3 linked regions of the Pelodiscus sinensis genome follow. The protein of the gene in region 1 purifies or fractionates together with the protein of each later gene. This does not show direct contact. Links are inferred from orthologs where the notes say so. Each region holds a gene or a part of one and is shown in the gene's direction. Other genes may lie near its edges. The genes, in order: MAP3K7, FKBP5 and TGFBR1.

The links.
Region 2: the proteins of MAP3K7 (region 1) and FKBP5 purify together in Homo sapiens (affinity purification with mass spectrometry; 4 studies listed by BioGRID and IntAct, with this or other methods). This does not show direct contact. The link is inferred for Pelodiscus sinensis from reciprocal best matches to the Homo sapiens genes MAP3K7 and FKBP5.
Region 3: the proteins of MAP3K7 (region 1) and TGFBR1 purify together in Homo sapiens (affinity purification with western blotting; 3 studies listed by BioGRID). This does not show direct contact. The link is inferred for Pelodiscus sinensis from reciprocal best matches to the Homo sapiens genes MAP3K7 and TGFBR1.

Annotation. Positions count from the first base shown.
Region 1 is NC_134713.1:65,052,446-65,056,045, reverse strand, and holds the start of MAP3K7 (mitogen-activated protein kinase kinase kinase 7), read left to right. Parts: upstream 1-827; 5' UTR 828-1,391; coding exon 1,392-1,481; intron 1,482-3,600. UniProt on the Homo sapiens protein: Serine/threonine kinase which acts as an essential component of the MAP kinase signal transduction pathway. Plays an important role in the cascades of cellular responses evoked by changes in the environment.
Region 2 is NC_134737.1:12,704,250-12,708,071, reverse strand, and holds the start of FKBP5 (peptidyl-prolyl cis-trans isomerase FKBP5), read left to right. Parts: upstream 1-879; 5' UTR 880-1,008; intron 1,009-3,822. UniProt on the Homo sapiens protein: Immunophilin protein with PPIase and co-chaperone activities. Component of unligated steroid receptors heterocomplexes through interaction with heat-shock protein 90 (HSP90).
Region 3 is NC_134712.1:146,268,736-146,272,557, forward strand, and holds the start of TGFBR1 (TGF-beta receptor type-1), read left to right. Parts: upstream 1-1,559; 5' UTR 1,560-1,647; coding exon 1,648-1,729; intron 1,730-3,822. UniProt on the Homo sapiens protein: Transmembrane serine/threonine kinase forming with the TGF-beta type II serine/threonine kinase receptor, TGFBR2, the non-promiscuous receptor for the TGF-beta cytokines TGFB1, TGFB2 and TGFB3.

The DNA of each region.
Region 1 (3,600 bases):
ATTTAACATCCCTAAGAAGGATCTCTTAATAATTACGTGTTTCTGTTCACTCCCTCTGGAGCATCTGACATTGGCCACAGTCAGAAGACAGGGTATGAGACAAGATGAACCTTTGGTCTGACTGGGTACCACCATTCTTTTTTTTTTTTTTTTTTTTTTGATCTGAGGAAGTGGGTCTGGCCCAGGAAAGCTCATCATCTAATAAACCATCTTGTTAGTCTTTAAAGTGCTACATAGTCCTGTTTTTTGTTTCAGCGACACCAGACTAACACAGCTACATTTCTATTACTATTCGCCATTCTTATATTCTTAAGACAGACTCCCTGCTGCTCCTGGTACTGCAGCCTATGCTGCCTCCCAGAAGCAGCCAGCAGCAGGTTCCCTGCCAATGGGAGCGTGGAGCTAAATGCTCTGGCCAGGAGCAGTGCATGTTGCCCTGTGCACTCTCCACCTACAAGCCGGGCCTGTTACGGCCCATTTCTGGGGCACGGTGCAGCCCGTGGTACTAGGACAAACAGGCAGCAGCCTTAGCACCGCCACTGCTCGCCATGCAGCCACGAGACCAGCGCCTGCCATTGCACAGCGTAGCGCTGGGGGCGGTTGCTGTGCCCGTTGCAATCCCTCCCAGGGACGGCTGGGATCCGCCGTTGGTACACGAAGCCCCGGGAGCCGCTGCTGGGGGAGCTGCTACCAACAGCCGCTGCGCTTGGTGCCCCACTCGGCGCTTGAGTCCCCCGCGGCGCCGGGCGGGGCCGTTCCTAGGCGCGTGTCCCAGGCGTCTGTGCGGCTCGGAGGCGGCTCCCCCTGGCTGCCGGGCGGCTCTGGCGGGGGGGGGGGCGGAGCTGGGCCGCCGCCGGCCGCGCACGAGGGGAGGAGCCGGGAGGAGCCGCAGCCGCCGCCAGGCCATGGCCCCGCTCCGGCGGCCTTAGCAGCAGCCGGAGACTCCCCCCCGCCCCCCGGCCGGGCAGCAGGAAGCGGCTCCCCTGCCAGTAGCGGCGGCCGGAGCTCGGCTCTGAGCGGCGCCTTCCCTCCCCGCCGGGGCTGGCGGAGGCCGCGGGGCCCCGCCCCCGGGGCCGTCCCGTCTCCTCTGCTGGGGACGCGCAGTCCAGGCGAGTCCCAGGCTCCAGGGAGGCCGCGGCCTAGGGCGGGCGGCGCGCCCGAGGCGCAGGATGCGGAGCGAGGCCCCCCCGGCTGGGGGCTCCGCGCGGCCCCAGTAGCCCCGGATCGCCGCGGATGCGGCCTCGCCCCGCGCGGCGGCCCAGGAGGCGCCTCCGCCAGGCCCTCGCTCCCCAGAGCCTGTGCAGCGGGGAGGCGGCCCCCCTGAGCCGCTCCTCTGCCCCGGCCCGGCTCGGCCGGCCCTGCCCCCTCCTGCCCTAGTTGACAGCGAAGGGATGTCTGCTGCCGCCTCCGCTGAAATGATCGAAACTCCCCCGGTCCTCAACTTCGAAGAAATTGACTACAAGGAGATAGAGGTGGAAGAGGTGAGCGAACCTCGTGCTCAGAGACTCCCCTTTCCTCCCTCTGCACAGCTCCCTGGGGCTCGTAGGGCAGCTTTCACCCTACAGGACCCGAAAGACGCTTACAAACTAGATAGGTGTTGTGGTCCTGGCAGGCAGCCAGCTGCGGGGAAGTGGGGAGAAAGGAGGGGCGAGAGTGGTAGTCAGTTGGCACAAAGGTGTGGGGGTGATAGTGAAGATTCTGCTCATAGACACCGAAGCAAAACCCCAACCTTATGAGAGAGGCCGTGAGACTACTCACAGGCACGTAGAGCTGAGCGTTGTATAGTAAATTCTGTGCTATTCTCCCTCTCGGAAGTGTCTAAATACTGCAATAATGTGCATAGAAAACATGTATGGCTAGATGCAAGGCTGTTAACCTGAGCTGCCAGGGAGCTTAGATATTCCAAACACGAAGCAAGAATCATAGTGTATAGGTGAATTTTTACTTAAACAGTCTAAATTTAATCCAGACTTTGTGGGACTTCTATATGTTCTGATTAACTCACTGATCATAACCACCCAACTTTATCACTGTCAAATGGAGAATTTTTAAACTATATTGTAATGCTTCCATTTTGTCTGTGTCTATTTTTGTAAGTCTCTGTTCTCTCTTCCACCCATCCGATTCAATGTACTTATTATACACCCATTACTATGGTATCTATCTGATGATCATATCCCAATTTTTTATGTCTACATTATCATAAGCATAAAAGACTCCTTTTAGATCTATTGAACTAATGTAAGTGATGGTACAATCCAGTGGCTGTTAAATTAACATCAGTACATGTGTGACCCTTTATTGCATTTGGTATTGATTACTTGTGACGTAATTGTCCATTTATGTTGTACTTAGTTTGGGGGGGGGGGAGTTTCCTACTTGAGTGTTTCAGCGAAAGATTGGCTGTGGAAGAGCTGACTTAAATTCTTTGAAACTGGTATGCAGTTGATTAAGAAGTAGTTCTGATAAAAGTATTTGTGGCTTAGTTTGGTTTTTATGTGGAGGTAAATTCTCTAGAGCAATCTGTTTTCCAGAAAGGTTCAATGGAGATATATTAACGGCTCATTAAGGCCCTTATCTTGCAAGTTGTTCGATTCAACTGAATCCCTCCATCCCTGTGAAGTCTCTGTTTAAGTCAAGTTGTTGTACATGGGCAGACCCCCATTGAACTTGGTAGGATTTACATATGCTGACTTGCAGAAAAATTAACTTAACAAACATTGGCATCATTATAATCTATGTGTTTTTAGCTCTTTAGCAGATTAATTACTGCTGAAAGAAAAAGATCTTTTCTTCTGACTGATAACTATACAGATGTGAACTTAGACTTGTATAGCACCTTTCATATATGTGATAACCAGTAGTTCTGAGCTTTACAGCATCATTTGCTAAATAGTGATAGTTAGCCTGCATCCACAGAAGTGTATTTTTGGAGACTATAAACAGTTTTATTGAAAAGTAATGTTTTCCAAGAACACTGTTTGCAAGGTATCATGGTATCTTTGACTTTCACCTTGAGTCACCAGAAATCTGTAAAAGGTACTTTAGCTTTAATCAGTCTTTAAAATTATTTACTGTTTCCCTTTCTACAAACAAGATAACCTATATCAGATGTTCTCAAATTGGAGGGGGAGGGAATATATGGAATATATTGAGAGGCATGAGAAGCTATTAGGGGAGAGAAACTTTCTACTGAAATTTACCCACAGCATTAAATAAAGTAGAAAATCAGCATTACGAATGCCCTAGGAATGGAGATTGTTCACCACTCTTAAAATGTTGATAACTCTGAACAAAACCTTATGGTTCTTTCAAAGGTTACAACTAAACATTTACTTAATAGAACTTTGAAACTGTACTGTGCAGAAAAACTACACAGTCAACCACTGGTACTCTTTGCCAGAGGATGTGGTGAAGGCCAAGACGCTAACAGGATTCATAAAAGAATTAGATACATTCATGAAGGATAGGTCCATCAGTGGCTGTTAGCCATGATGGGCAGAGATGGTGTCCCTAACCTGTTTGCCAGAATCTGGGAATGGGATAGATCATGTGATGATTTCTTGGTCTTTCATTCCCTGTAAGGCTCTTGGCATTGGT
Region 2 (3,822 bases), on another chromosome or scaffold:
GGGGGGTTGCACTGACAGGGGGCATTGCACCGGGTCTGAGGCGTTGCACTGAGGTTTTGGGGGGGTTGCAGTGACGGTTTGGGGTCGTTGCCCTGGGGCTGAGCTGTGGCACTGAGATTTGGGGGGGGGGTTGCACTGACAGGGGGCATTGCACCGGGCCTGAGGCGTTGCACTGAGGTTTTGGGGGGGGTTGCACTGACAGGGGGCATTGCACCGGGTCTGAGGTGTTGCACTGAGGTTTTGGGGGGGGGGTTGCACTGACAGGGGGCATTGCACCGGGCCTGAGGCGTTGCACTGAGGTTTTGGGGGGGTTGCACTGACAGGGCATTGCACCGGGTCTGAGGCGTTGCACTGAGGTTTTGGGGGGGTTGCCCTGGGGCTGAGCTGTGGCACTGAGATTTTTGGGGGGGGTTGCACTGACAGGGGGCATTGCACCGGGTCTGAGGCGTTGCACTGAGGTTTTGGGGGGGTTGCACTGACAGGGGGCATTGCACCGGGTCTGAGGCGTTGCACTGAGGTTTTGGGGGGGTTGCACTGAGGTTTTGGGGGGGTTGCACTGGGGCTGAGCTGTGGCACTGAGATGGGGGGGGGTTGCACTGACAGGGGGCATTGCACCGGGCCTGAGGCGTTGCACTGAGGTTTTGGAGGGGTTGCACGGACGGCGTGGGGGCGTTGCACAGGGGCCGCGGCGCTGCATGGAGGATTTGAGGGGCTGCACTGACTTTCTCCGGCGCTCCCCCCCCCGCGCTCTTCGCAAAAAGCTTGAGGCTGGGCTCTGCTCCCGGCAGGGGGCGGGCAGAAGCGGCCTCATTTACATGCAGGGCGGAGAAGTAGCCAATGAAGCCGCGGCTCGAGCGCCCTTGACGTAGACGGGAAGGCGCGGCGCCCAATGGGCGCTCGGGAAGGCGGGGCCTCGCTGGAAGGCGGGGGACTCGGGCCGGCTCCGGCCGGCCGCCCGGTGTCAGTTCTAGCCGGGCAGCGCGGCGGCGGGAGCCAGCGGAGCGGCAGGTAGGCGCCCCCGGGGGGTGGCGGGGCCGTGGCTCAGAGGCTGGTGAGCCCCCCCCCGAGGCTCCAGCCCCCTTTATAGTCAGGGGCTGCCCCCCCCCGGGCCGGGCCACCCATGAGCAGCCCCCCCCATTGAGAGGCAGACCCCCCCCCTCCAGGGTAACTTGGGGTCCCTGTCCCCCTATTGCCCCCTGCCTCCTCCTTCCCCCTCCCCTAAACCCCCCTTCCTCTGAACCCCCGCACTCCCACACCGCCCCCCTCTGAATCACTAATGCCTGGATGGATGTGAGGGGGCTCCAAAAGGAACATTTGGGGAGTGTGGGTGGGGTTTTTTTTGGGGGGGGGGAGAAGAATGACCCACCCCCCAATAGGGAAAGTTTTAAAAATGGGATGGTGACATTTTAATTCTGCTGAGAGGGGAGGAATATAATTCTTCCCCTCCTCCCCCCAATAACCAGAAATATAGAAGAAACAAAATGCAGGGCTATGTAGCACTTTAAAGACTAACAAGATGGTTTATTAGGCGATGAGCTTTCGTGGGGCCAGACCCACTTCCTCAGATCAAATAGTGGAAGAAAATAGTCACAACCATATATACCAAAGGATACAATTAAAAAAAGTGAACACATATGAAAAGGACAAATCACATTTCAGAACAGAAGGGGAATGCGGGGGGGGGAAGGAAGGTGAATGTCTGTGAGCTAATGATATTAGAGGTGGGGAAAGGTAAATGTCTTACCAGCAATATAGAGACCCTGGTTTAGGAGGTGATGAAGAGCAGTGGAAGGAAATGCTGCAAATATTGCATTGTGTATGTGTATCGCAAATGCTATGTAAGAGCCAGGTGGTAACCCTATCATGGGAGGAAAGGAATTAAGGAGGCATGGAGGAAAGGGGGCGAAGGAACTTGGTGGGATGTGGCGTCAGGAAGAACCTGGAGAACAGGTGGGCTGTTTGTGCTGTGGCTAAGGAACCTCTATTAAGTACTACAGGAGCCTCCTATGTATGGAAGGTGTGTGAGATTGGAGTGTATGTGGATTTGGTCCTTACCTTTGGCCTTATGGTTCTGAAATATTGCTTCTAGCCAAGGATTTTGAATTGTTTTATAAAACACTGTTATCTTTATAAATGCAATTTTGCAAGGATAGGAAGAACAGTGTCCGTTGGTTGTGTTAGGCTTTTTTGCTTTAGGATCTGGGTTACTTTTTTCCCTTGGGAGGAATGGTATGTAAAAAAAAAAAAGTTTAATGTCTTGTAATATGCCCCTTGTACTGTGGGAGACTAGATGGAGTCTGCTGGTGTTGTTGACTTCAGAAAGAGCCAAGTGTAAGGACCTGATGAAATTAATCTTTAAGTTAAACAGATAATTGACAAAAGGAAATTGTTTCAATTCTCACAATATATTGAATCTACCTGGTGTTTGAAAGCCACTGAGGAACCTTCAGCACAAAAAAATCTCTCAAAAACAGCTTACAAAAAATCTTTGCACAAAAAAGTGAGTTTAGAGTCTTTGCTTTAAATCTTCTAACTTTTGTCTGTGATACAATTATGATATTAAATATTAATATATTTTTTAATCTGGAAATTTTAAGTTAAATTGACTTTGCATCCACCCAATCATTTAAAAGAGTTATATTTGTATTAATCTTCTTTGCCCCGTATCTGAGATTTCACTTGTTTTCTGACAGAAATGTCAAACATTTCTAGATTTTCTGATTGAAAAGTGGCCTACTTTCACTATAGGCAGCCCTGTATCCTTTGCTGAAATACTGTTTTGCAGCTTCCTACAGCAGTGCTTTTCAGTGAATCCAAACATGGTCTGCAGCCATGGTAATAGAACCCTAGAGGAGGATATTTTTTTCCTCCAGGTGTAAAAGTATAGTATCATCACAAAATGAGGTTCCTGTATAATGACACCTACCGAAAAAATGTCCCATGGATTGTAAAAGTAAATACTGAGAACATGACTCTGCACAGTTTTCATATATAACACAAAATAAACATGATTGGAGACGCTCACTTTTTCTCACATTCGATTGCACAAATAGCTCTTGTGAAGTTTCTACTTTCCTGCTGCAAAGTGCATTTCAGACATGCATATTAGTGCCTCAAAGGAATATTATTTACCTGGTGAGCTATAAGAGCTTTTGAAGGATAAATTCAAAAATAATGTGTAATGTTTCCATTTGGTTAATTCCAGTTCATATTTCCAGGGCTATATTCAAGGTGCACCATTTAATTGATCCTGCCTGTGAATGAAATTGACTCTGCCTGTGAATGAAATTGACTATCTCAAACAGCTTTGCTACTTTCAGTTCTACAGTGTACTGTAGACAGTGTCTTTAAGGTGCTAGTTTGAGGAGTCTCTTTTCATTAGATGAATGCAGTGATTCTATTTAAATGTTCATTCCTAAAATGTCACCTTTTGCTAGGACAGATCATGTAAACCAAGACTTTCCCTACAGGAGGCTGGAAAGATGCTTAAACTTGTTTAAACACTTGGTGGATGGGGCTGGACCCGTGTTAGAAATTGGTATTATAAAAAAGAGAGCAAATAGTGTTTTCAATATCTTCTTTGATTAATAAAATGGTAGTAGAGAGAGAGTTACCTGGAGTTATGTAAACACTGCCCCATCAATAAATACAATGGATTAGGAACCCAAAAAAATGCCGGTTGGCACTGGGGAAAAACATGGCTGGCTTCTTTTGGCAGATTTCATAAAGATGCAGCTGGATTGGGTTAAATGAGGTATTCCTCAATGGAAAATGAACAAAGGCAAGGATGTTGCTTTTAATCTATAAATTGTGCTTTGATTC
Region 3 (3,822 bases), on another chromosome or scaffold:
CCTCAGGTGGCTCCTGGGTGGTGGTGCAGTAGGGTTAAGGCAGGCTCACCCTGCATTGGCACTGCACCACTCCCAAAAGCAGCCCACAAACTCGCTCCATCCCATGTGCATTAAAATAAAATGTGGCAAAATCAAGCACCTAAATTAGTCTATAAAGTCAGAAGCTTGATTTCTCCTGTTAACTTTAACAGGAGAAATCAGCACACTGGATGGCTACGTCTAGACAGGCATGATTTTCCGCAAATGTTTTTAACGGAAAAGTTTTTCCATGAATAGCATTTGCAGAAAAGAGCGTCTAGATTGGCACGGACACTTTTCCACAAAAAGTGCTTTTGCGGAAAAGCATCCGTGCCAATCTAGATGTTCTGTTCCGAAAATGCTTTTAACGGAAAACTTTTCCGTTAAAAGCATTTCTGGAAAATCATGCCAATCTAGACGCAGCCTCACAGAAACATAGCTATAGGGCCTGTACGTGGTAATACTCAAGTGGCTAGACACTATAGCATTTTCAAGGCAAATTTAAGAATGCCTGAGAATTGGCCACTGTTTTTGGTTCAATGGTGCAAGTGCATTTGGTGTGTCCTAATTGTAACCTTACCTGGTGACTTCCATACTTGAAGATTTAGAAACTATTGGGTGAGTGAACAAGAAGCAATGGGCCTAAATTGCAGCAAGGGAGGTTTAGGTTGGACATTAACTATTCTAACAGTAAGTTTTTCCTAATCTTTGGAATAAATTGCCTAGAGAGGCTGTGGAATCTCCATCACTGGAGATCTTTAAGAGCAAGTTAAACACCTGTGGGCTAGATGGTGGCTGGTGTTGCAATGAGTGCAAGGTACACGAGGACCTTTCTAGGTCCATTCCAGTGCTATGATTAGGCATGGCTACAAGGACTTATTCAGGAATTTCCTTGCTTTCTGTCAATCTGATTTGCTGCATGAGAGGAAAAACTCTCAGAGTACTGTCTTGTATAGAGAAGGTGTGAGCACTGGGTGTGCACAAATCCTCCCTCCTCCAGCACTGTTGAGCGTTTTACTACCAAGGGCACCTTCCAACCCTGCTTCCTCGGGCGCTGCCGGCTCTATCTCGGACACCTAGTTACTTAGCTCCTGCGGCTCCGCTACCAAGTAGCAGGCCCGGCTCTGGCACCCTTGCAGCACGCTGCAGGCAGAGAGCGCCCCCCGCCTCACTCAGCCCGCATGAGCGGGATGGAGAGAGAAGGTGGAGGCGTCTCTGTAGCGTCCAAACTCTGCTGGAGCGCGAGGCGCCCCAACCCCCGCGCGTGCCCTGCCCCCCAGGCCCACAACGGAGAGAGCTGCTGGCCAGACGCTGCCTTTTGTCCACGCGCCAGTCCAGGGGAAGGGAGACGCAGTGCGCTCAGCCACCTCCCCCGTGTCACTCTCCCCGCCTCGCGCTCACCCTCCCCACCGCCACGCCCACTTGGCCTGGCGCCGAGCCGGTTGTATTTCTCCAGACTCTTGTTGTTGTTCAGAATGTCTGCAGCCGCCTGGGAGGCGGGGCTACGGGCCGGAGCGGCCAATCAGGAGGCGCCTGCGTGTCAGTTACATTATAAAGTGGCCGCAAGGGCGAGTGTGAATCGGAGAAGCGGCGGCGCGAGGCTGAGCCCGGGCGCGAGCGGGCAGCGCCATGGAGCTAACGGCCCCTCCGCGGCCAGGCTGGGTCTTTCTCTCGCTGGCGGCCGCGGCGCTGCTGCTCCCGGGGGCGGCGGGTGAGTAGCGGCCCCGGGGGCGGGGAGGCGGCTCCGCGGGTCCCCGCCGGCTCCTTTCAACAACATGGCGCAGGGGCCGGCCGGGCGGAGCCCGCGTCCCTTTGTTGGCCGAGTCCGGCGGCTCCGGGTGCGCGCGGAGCAAAGGCGCCGAGGCTGAGGAACAGCGGCCGGGCGGCGGCTGCCGGACCCCCCCCCCCCCCCCCTCCTCGCGCCCGGAACAGGGGGTGGAGCGGGGAGCGCAGCGGGTCCGGGAGCGAGGTGAAAAAGGCACCGAGCGCGCCCGCCCCCTTCCGGCTGTGGCACCCGCTGTCTGCGCCCCTGGTCCCGGGGCAGCACCACGAGCTCTGCGCCGCGCGTGGCCCTCGCCTCCGATCGTGTCCCAGCGCCGCCGCGCACGGCCGGCTGCCCCCAGCCGCTGGGGTCTGGTCGGACCCGGTTTTCTTCTTCTGCAGCCGGTTGGGCTGTGAGCGCGCTGGAAGTCGCCTGGCGCTAGCCGCTCTCGCGTTCCTCGTTCCCGCTAGTGATCTGGGGCTTGCGTGGCTGGACAGACCCTTTAACCCTGATACACAGAGACTTGCGCCAGTCCGGATAAAATGTCGTTCCTTAAAACTTCCGCTTGCAGTCCCAGGTGCCCGGTATTCGTAACCGAAATGGGGGAAATCCCAATATGTGCTGCAGGCTTATGGTCACAATGTAACTGTTCCAGTGTTCTTTACAAATGTAAGGGTGGTGGTGGTGGAGGGGAGAGAACTACATGTTGAATGTTCCAATTAGGTAAAGCGCAAAAAAACCCAAAACAAATCTCCCCCCCACCCCCCCAAAAAAACCACTTTTTTTTCTTGAGTCTCCTGAAGTAAGAAGCCACTCGCTCTAGTTGAGTTGGGCGCCAACTTGCAATATGCTGGTATTATGTACTCTGTGATTAAAAACTGGCCTGGATGATTGCTTAGATTAAATGCTGTTTAGGTTGTAAATCTGCATTGTATTTAAGCACCTTATTGTTATACCCACTAGTATACAAAATACACATTTATAAATAAGGGCAGCATATTAGAATGTTGAGTTAGTTCTTTCTACCCCAGCAAAATCCTGCAGTTAATCTGATGTCAAAACATATAGGTTGAAGTGTGTTGCGGGAGTTGTTTGTGACTTTGGGCAACTAAGAACAGTAACACAACTGTACCTTCAGTTCTCCAAATAACGCAGGATATGTTTGGTGGTAGGACTTAGTAATATGTCCTAATACATTAATAAAGGAGATGAGCTTTTGTGAGTAAAAACCCACTTCATCAGACGAGTTGGAATTCTGTAAATTCCACTTAAATGGGATTTTTACCCACAAAAGCTCATAACCTAATAAATTTGTTGATCTCTATGGTGCCAGAGGACTGCTCATCCTTTATTAATGTTAAACCAAACATCTATAAACCTGCTTAGTTACATAATCTTTGGGTATGCACATCTGTAATGCATCAAATTATCATAAACACAGAGGAATATTATTGTGTATGTTATTGCTTACTCTTTTGCCCAAAAGATAAAGCAAAATAAATACAGAATGTATGCAATATTAGAAGTAACTTTTGTTTCAATTTAAGAAATAAGTGTAACTTGGGAAACTGCAATACTTTTCTCTTGCAGTCAGTGTTAGATGATATGTGACTTTGAGACCTGGTATAGATAAAGGTTTTTTTTTTTTTTTGGAGGGGGATGGGTTAAGATGAGGCAGAATACATACATTCATATTTAATACATCTCTGATCTCTCATTAGAGAATCTTGGTAATCCGATAAATATTTGCTTAGTGAGGAGGGGAGAGACATCCTTTGCATGGGGAAGCAGAATAAGATTGTCTGAAATTTTCAAATTATTTTAAATCTTTTCAAGACACCTTGCTATTTCCTTAAAGGAAATCAGAAACTTTTAACAGAACTAAAGGTGTCTCTTTAAAGTTTAACTTTCTTCTACTTCACAAAAACGCAGAGGAAAACAACAGTTTTACACGTGAGCTACCTCGTTAAAATAATGCAATATGAGGTATTGTTTTCTCTGGTACAAACGCTGTCTTGGGAATAGTTAAGTGTGAACTGTGA